2 linked regions of the Oreochromis niloticus genome follow. The protein of the gene in region 2 interacts with the protein of the main gene of each other region in a pairwise test. Links are inferred from orthologs where the notes say so. Each region holds a gene or a part of one and is shown on either strand. Other genes may lie near its edges.

What was found.
Region 1: the proteins of TSC22 domain family protein 1 (region 2) and ccdc90b interact in a two-hybrid assay, tested with the Homo sapiens proteins (2 studies listed by BioGRID and IntAct). The link is inferred for Oreochromis niloticus from reciprocal best matches to the Homo sapiens genes TSC22D1 and CCDC90B.

What each region holds. Positions count from the first base shown.
Region 1 is NC_031975.2:32,755,748-32,759,499, forward strand, and holds the start of ccdc90b (coiled-coil domain-containing protein 90B, mitochondrial), read left to right. Parts: upstream 1-1,563; 5' UTR 1,564-2,283; coding exon 2,284-2,335; intron 2,336-2,657; coding exon 2,658-2,777; intron 2,778-2,851; coding exon 2,852-2,955; intron 2,956-3,022; coding exon 3,023-3,124; intron 3,125-3,752. Other genes in the region: alg8 (dolichyl pyrophosphate Glc1Man9GlcNAc2 alpha-1,3-glucosyltransferase), read right to left, coding at 1-71, 178-256, 1,193-1,272.
Region 2 is NC_031987.2:11,265,166-11,268,917, reverse strand, and holds the start of TSC22 domain family protein 1, read left to right. Parts: upstream 1-1,451; 5' UTR 1,452-2,236; coding exon 2,237-3,752. UniProt on the Homo sapiens protein: Transcriptional repressor. Acts on the C-type natriuretic peptide (CNP) promoter. Acts to promote CASP3-mediated apoptosis.

The DNA of each region.
Region 1 (3,752 bases), on a different chromosome or scaffold from region 2:
GCCACCTGAGACAGCCCGAGCTCGAACCAGGCGAACAGCGGCGGGTAGTCCAGGGTCCACTCGGACGTGTTCTGCAGGAGAGAAACCGCCTCGTCAAACATCAGCGAGCTTTCCCGCCGCCTCCTCACCCACAGATGCTTTCATTTTACAGGTGAGTGTGGGCTCCTCCTCCCTCACCTCATAGTACCACCTGGACACGGGCAGGCTGTGCGTGATGGCCAACCAGTTCCTGTGCACCTCGAAGTCCGTCGACCGGCTAAACACACACACACACACACACACACACACACACACACACACAGCAGTTTAACAGACCAAGCTGGACAGACGGAGGCTTCAGCTTTAAACACGTTTGACCTCCACCTGAGGAGCACCACCTGCACCGAGGCAACAGTGACCATACACACGTTCATCTAAAGGAAAGCAGGCAGGTGCTCAGTCAGTAACACCTGAACTGTTACCGGTCAGAGGATCAATCTGAGCTGAAAAATCTGCTAATGTACTCAAACACTTTCTCATTTCTTAACTTCATACTTCACATGGACCACAAAGGTCACGTGTCTCAGGGTTAAAGGTCTCTGGCTCACTGCTCTGTACACTGTGGGCACCTGTATTAGGTTTTTTACAGAGCACAGAGGTGTTAGCTGGGCTGTACTAATGCCGAATGTTTCAGTGGTTTAAACTGACTCCGCTGATATAAAAAGATCCGATTCATCCGCTGTGCTCACAGAAAAACACGCGGGATGTTTTTAATCGGGAGATTTCCCGCAGTGATCCGGTCCTCACAGACGCAGCACTGCGCTTCATGAGACGTTCGCGGGCTCTGAGCCTCCTGACACTCATTAAAGCTCAGTAGACACGGCGGAGTGACTTACATATGGCGCCTGTTGGATCTGGGGTGTACCTGTACGGTCAATCACCTGTGTAAAACGTCATCACGCAGCGCCAAACCGAACCTCTAAAGAAATACGGCGAATTACTGAGGCCCAGCCTGCAGCTGATGACGGCTCGGGTTCAAGTTCAAACAAACTCGGATTTCACACGAAGTCAAACTAAACGATTTCATCCGCGCACACCTGCCCCCTCGCAGACCCCTAACTGTCATCGCATACAGGAAATGACGTTAACGTGCTGCTGGCTAACGGCCGCTCTGTAATGACCGCGGTGACACAGAGGAAGACTTGGGACTCACTACGCGCTGATAAAGAAGCACTTCAGCAGAGAAACTCCCACAGCTAACGCCGGGAACCAGCTGCAGCTGTCCGCCGCCATGACAGTCGGCCTGCTAACGTCTGCTTCAAACTTTATTGACAAAGCCGAGGCGGACAGTTCCTCAGTGAACTTTATTTTTTTGTTTTTGTTTTTATTTATTTTTTTAAACAGAGTTTAAGAGCTTCCGAGTCCTCAGTTCGTCGTTTCTGTGTCGTTTAAAAATTTATGTAAAAAAAAAAAAGTTCGTCTTTATTATGATACTTTAAATGTCGACACATAAGGTCGGAATTCTGAGCTTCGTCTGTGCTAGTCTTAAATGTCACACACTGAAGTTTCCTCCCCCGTTTAAAACCTTTCAGGTCATTAAAAGAAAAACTTTCAGTTTCAGAGAAGAAAATTAAAAACTATTTAAACTCGCTATCTTTTTATTTCTGTTTTTAAATACTCGTAATTTCTGATTTCACTTCTCTTTTCTTAAATTTTCTTAGACTTTTTGTCCTAAAGTTCCTCTTTCTGCACCACAGCTGATCGTCCTGTCCACCTCCACCTCCTCTATCCCAGCATCCTCCTGTGTCACACCAACCCTCTGCATGTCCTCCTTCACTACATCCATGAACCTCCCCTGAGCTCCTCCTCCTGCCTCCACCCTGTCTCCTCTGTAGATGTCCAAACCAGGTCAGCCTCTCCGACCCTGAGCGGTCCCTCTGATGGACTCGTCCTGCTCACTGCTAATTAATATCTGAACACTTCCAACAACTACACTGATCTGTCATATTCCATCCTCTCTAACTCTTTTTGGATAAAGTGTGTTACATGTAAACATCTGAGAGCTCCGGTCCAAACTGAAGAAGCACAAACGGTGCTGACACCCTCACAGCCGGGGGCGCTGTCTCCCAAACTGTCACGGTCTTTTCTGTGACCCACGGTCCCTGAATGCAGCATGGGTAGGGCCTTGCTCCTTCCTCGGTGTGACAGTTTCCGGTTTGTGAGCGCTGTGTGTGTTTGTGTGTAAACACTCCAAAGTTTTTAAATAAACGTCACAAAAACTCTGAAATCACAGCAGCTTCCGGGATGAACGCGCTCATGAGGAGGTGTTTCTGGCGGCGGGTGGTCACGTGGAGAGGTGAGGCAGAGGACCCCAAAATTCTGACAGACTCACCAAATCACCGCAGACACGCTGGTTTCCGGTCACTGTGACGTTTCTGCGTTTATGTAGTTCATAATTTCCAACAGGAAACGGTCATAAATCAGGTCCTGGTTCTGGTTCTGGACCCAGTCAGTAATGAAGGACAGCCAATCAGAGTCCAGCTCCACAGCAGTGTTTACACTGTGATCTAACTCACCTGGTTAAATTGTATCAAAGTTTAATGTCTGCATTGTTAGGGGCGTGGCCTGTGTGTGTGCACACCTGTACAGTGTATGGATGCAGCCTGTGTGTGTTAAAGGTCTCCATGTGGGGGCGCCACTGACGACCTTCGATGTGAGGAAGGTGGAGCTGACGCCGCTGGAGCAGCGCAAACTGACGTTCGATTCCCACGCCATGGTCACAGAGCTGCAGAGCAGCGGTGAGGTCACTGTCAGGCGTGTTGGCGTGTAGTACCGCTGGAACACGGAGTACTCATCGGATGTTTTTGTGCAGGTTTTGAGAAGAGCCAGGCGGAGCTGATCGTCTCAGCTCTGGTCACTCTTGCCACGGCCAACATGGACGTCGTTTACAAAGACATGGTGACCAAATCCCATCAGGTGGGAACCAGAGACGAGCTCCACCCTCGGGCTGTTTCAACAGAGTGACAGACTTTTCTCTCTTTAGGAGATCGCCCTGCAGCAGATCATGGCTCACCTGGACTCCATCAGGAAGGACATGGTGATCCTGGAGAAGAGCGAGTTCGCTAACCTGCGATCCGAGAACACGGTACCTCGGCTTTACTTCTTATTTTCTCCTTCATTTTCTTTAATCATCCAGCATTCCTAACATCTGGACACCTCCTTGAGTCTGTCACAGTTAGCGTGTTACTCGGATTTGTTAAATATATGGAAGTTTTTGGAGGAAGTTCATCAGGTGATGGTGGAGCTCACATTTGGACCTGTCAGTGCACCTTAATGGACGTAATGAAGCTTCTGGTTCCTGGGACCATAACTCCGGGTTAGGATAAAACTAGAGCTGGGCGATAAAATGATAACGATATGTATTGCGAAATAACTTTTTCTCGATAGAAAAATTAAACTATTGCGATAGGCCTCATCTCTCTTGTCCTCTTAAAAAAAAAAAACTAAAAAAAAAACAGCCAATCCAAATTAAGTAGTGCAGAGCCGAACCAATCACAGCCGCAGCATCACGTCACGTGACTTATTACGTGCAGCACAAGCGCCAAGGCGTATTTGTTTTTGCAGCCGTGCAGCCCGGGTAATGAAGGATAGGAGTTTGCCGACTAGAGAAAAATCAACCGAGAGCGTGAGCGAAGGTTACCGAAGAAAAAACCGATGATGGTTCCAATGCTGGAGAGATTGTCGAACGGAAGGGCCACAGAAGTTCGTAGTGT
Region 2 (3,752 bases):
ACATAAAATTAATCATTACACAGAATTCAGGTTTATATTATTTAGTTTATCATTGTATTGTTTTCAAGTTAGTGGCTGAAACTACAAGCCTTTGTTTTTAACGAATGCCTCTCTTTAAACTAGTATTAATGTAGGTAACTGAGTTATTATACGTCCCCCAAAAAAGTCTTTTTGTTACTTCCACCATCTCCAAGAGATACATCATAGCAGATCTTACTAATACTCACTCACATACTGTCTTGCTTTTTCTCACTTTCATTCCTCTCCTCTCCAGAGCATACCTCCACCTCTCTGGACTCTCTCTCACCTGTTCCCTGCTTGCACTAAGACCACAACATCATCTGCAAATATTATAGTCCACAAAGACTCCTTCCTGATCTCCTCCATAGCTTTATGGTATGGCTCAGCAGCTCTTCACATCACCCTTGTTCTTGAAAACTAGTACCAGCACACTTCTGCTCCATTCTTCACAGACACTCTCTCTCTAGGATTTAGTCTGGTGAAAAAGTCCCTTGCCCTCTCTCCTAGACATCTCTTTACCTCCACAGGTATGTAATCCATCACTTACGGTGGATGTTGATTTTCAGTTAAGGGTCTAAATACTTTTTTTTCAACTAAAGAAGAGTATTTTGTGTTTTTGTAATTCAAACAACTTGCCTTGATTTAGAAATATGTTTAAATTTACTTCCATTTTCACTCCTGTGTTATGTTGGCATCCCCTGTGTCAGAAACTGTAATGCATTTTATTTATAAAACTGGAGTATTTCCTGCAGGTTTTTCCACTCTACAAAGAATATTAGAGTGAGCCATACTGGATCTTTTGACTAAGGTTATTAGAGTGTACCATTGGTGTAATGCTACTTCCACTTTTTATAAGACTGGTTTATCGTCTGTTTTATGTATGCTGCTATGACAACTCAATTTCCTTCTGGGCTTAATAAAGTTTCTCTGATTCTGATTCTAAAACAAAATAAAACCTAACTGAAATAATTGTGTGAACTTGGAAAACTATAAAAACAAAAAGGAAATTAGCTTAGTTTAATATGTTAGTTTGGTATAAAATGTTATTATAACTTGTCTGATAAGACTGTTGATGTTAATTGAGACTTCGGATGTCTATAAGACTTTGTAAAAGTTATTTTTATTGTAAAAACGTGTACTCTCTGTACCCTCCATAGAATAAAAATAAAAAAACAAGAAAATCCGATCTGAAAACTAACCGAAACTAAACTGAATGAAAAACAAAAAACTCAAAATTGAATAAACTTTTAAAGTAATGAGAAACTACAAAACTATAATGACTCCATACTGATTTCCTCTGGTTCAAAAAGACCAACAAAACCTATTGTGATAGCCCTAAACTGGTTTTCGGAGGGAGCGGCTGGGCTCGGCACTTTCCGGCACGCTTCGTGGATATTGACGTGAGCTCGTGGCCGCCTCTCCCAGACTGCTTTATGTCTGGCAGCAGCGGCCATGCGCGGTCGCCATATTACTGCTCACCCCTCCCCTCCGGCCCCGTCACAGACAGCGCAAACCACGGCAGCGGTGCGGGAGGCTCCATACTGAACGACGCTACCGCCGGGGAGGACCAGTGATACAGCAAAACCCAAACGAGGACCCAGAGGAATGGATTTAACCCGTCTACGGCGCTTTTATTAGAAGTGTTTCGCCTTTTAAAGCTTCGTGCTGCGGATTAAAGGTGGCTCTCTTTCGCTTCGTTTCCTCTTGTTAAAAGAATAAGAATAAAAAAACCCAGCAGTTTAAACAGCCGAGTTTGTGTTTAGCTAGCCGGTGATGGAGAGTGGCAGCTAGCTAGCTTTTAATATAACGCTAACTTACTCGGCAGCTTTTTTTGCCCGCTTTTTGTGTTCATTGCAGCGTGGCGTCTTTTTCTCTTCAACAAAACATACAGAAATGTTAGCTTGTGTTTAACAAAGACGCAGACGGACAACTCGGGTAGTTAACCGGCGAACTGGCATCAGCTGACGCTAGCGGCCACTAGCTTCTTTTGCCTCGCTAGGATAACGCCGAAGCGAGTGAAAGAAGACAAGGGTGTAAATATCGGCACAACTTTTGCCTCATATCTGCGCACTTCGTTGAAATATCTATTGTTTTTTTCTAGATAATTTTTTGGTCGTTTGTCTGTTGAGCGTAGTTTTGTCAAAACGGCGCCTTTAACGAGCTGCAGCCTTATTGCATACTGTCAGAGACCAACTACCGCCCGGATCTTCTCGAAATGCATCATCCGGACCCTGCAGGAGACTCTGGCAGTGTTAGAAAGATGGCGCATCAGGCTGTCTTTCACAGAAGGGGGAGCAACACTGGCAGCGGGAGCGGCCCTGGGCTGTCAACATCAGCTAACCCGGTGGTTAATAACAGCCACGTACCAGCCGATGACTACCCGCCCTCCCTGTTGATTCAACCTCCTGCTGGCTCATCCTCCCCGGGTCCCCATCATCCTCCTCCCCCCCACAGCCTAAATCTGCTCTCCCAGCCCCAGCCCACACAGTCCACTGGAGCTCAGATAAAGAAGAAGAGTGGTTTCCAGATCACAAGTGTGACTCCAGCACAGGTATCTGTTAGTACCAATAACAGCATCGCAGAGGATACTGAGAGCTACGACGACCTGGATGAGTCCCACACTGAGGATCTGTCATCTTCTGAGATTCTGGATGTGTCCCTCTCCCGAGCTAATGATGTAGTTGGAGCGGAGAGAAGCTCCTCAGAGGAGACGTTGAATAATTTCCATGAGGCGGAGACCCCTGGAGCGGTCTCTCCAAATCAGCCTTCACACCCCCACACCTTGAACCAGGCACAGAAGCAGCACGGTGGAGCCATGGTGAATGGGACTGTACACCATCAACATCCTCCACATCCTAACCATGCCCAGGTCTACCCTCTGTCCTCTGGCTCCGGGAGCACCCCGTCTGGTCTCACCTCTGGAGCTTTACCTTGTGTCACTCAGAAAATGCCTTCTAATATGGGCGGCCCTCAAGAGAGTGTTTCCCAGGCTGTTCCTTCAAGTATCCCCACTCAGCCTACAGGGACTGCAGTCCCGGGATCTATCCCTGGAATGCACAGCTCTGCTGCTGGCAATACAGTTAGCATAGTTAATCCCCAGACCAGCAGTGTTAGTAATGTGAATATGTTGAGCTCTGCCAACGTGCCTGTGAGAGGGGGGATCAGCACGAGTGCTAGCACTAGCAGTGGCGGCTATCCTCTCAATGTGATGAGCAGCAGTGGAGGGAGTGGAGGAGGAAGTGCTGCTGCTCCAGCTGGGAGCAACCTTATGGCCCCCGCTAGCATGATCCAGCAACACCAAAACTTAAACTCCAACATTGCTATGACTGCTACAACTACTGTTGCTGTGAGTGCCACTGGAGGCGTAGGGCTCCCCAGCGGGCTCCATGGAAGAGTTGGATCAGCTGTGCAGCAGCCTGTGAGTGCAATTGCTACAGCTGCGACCACAGCTCCTGTATCATCTGTTCCTGCGGCCCCTGTGGTGGCCACCACCACAAGCTCTCGCTTTAGAGTGGTGAAGCTGGACTCTAGCTCTGAGCCCTTCAAAAAGGGCAGATGGACTTGCACTGATTTCTATGATAAGGAGACCCCAGCTCCTGCCCCCTCTTCTTCTTCTGACCCTGGGTCCCACAGCATACGGCAGTTTGTCTCTGAGAGCTTTGCTGGGGGGTCGGAGAGAGAAAGCACAAGTGGGAGTTCTGTGAGTAGTACTATGAGTACATTGAGCCATT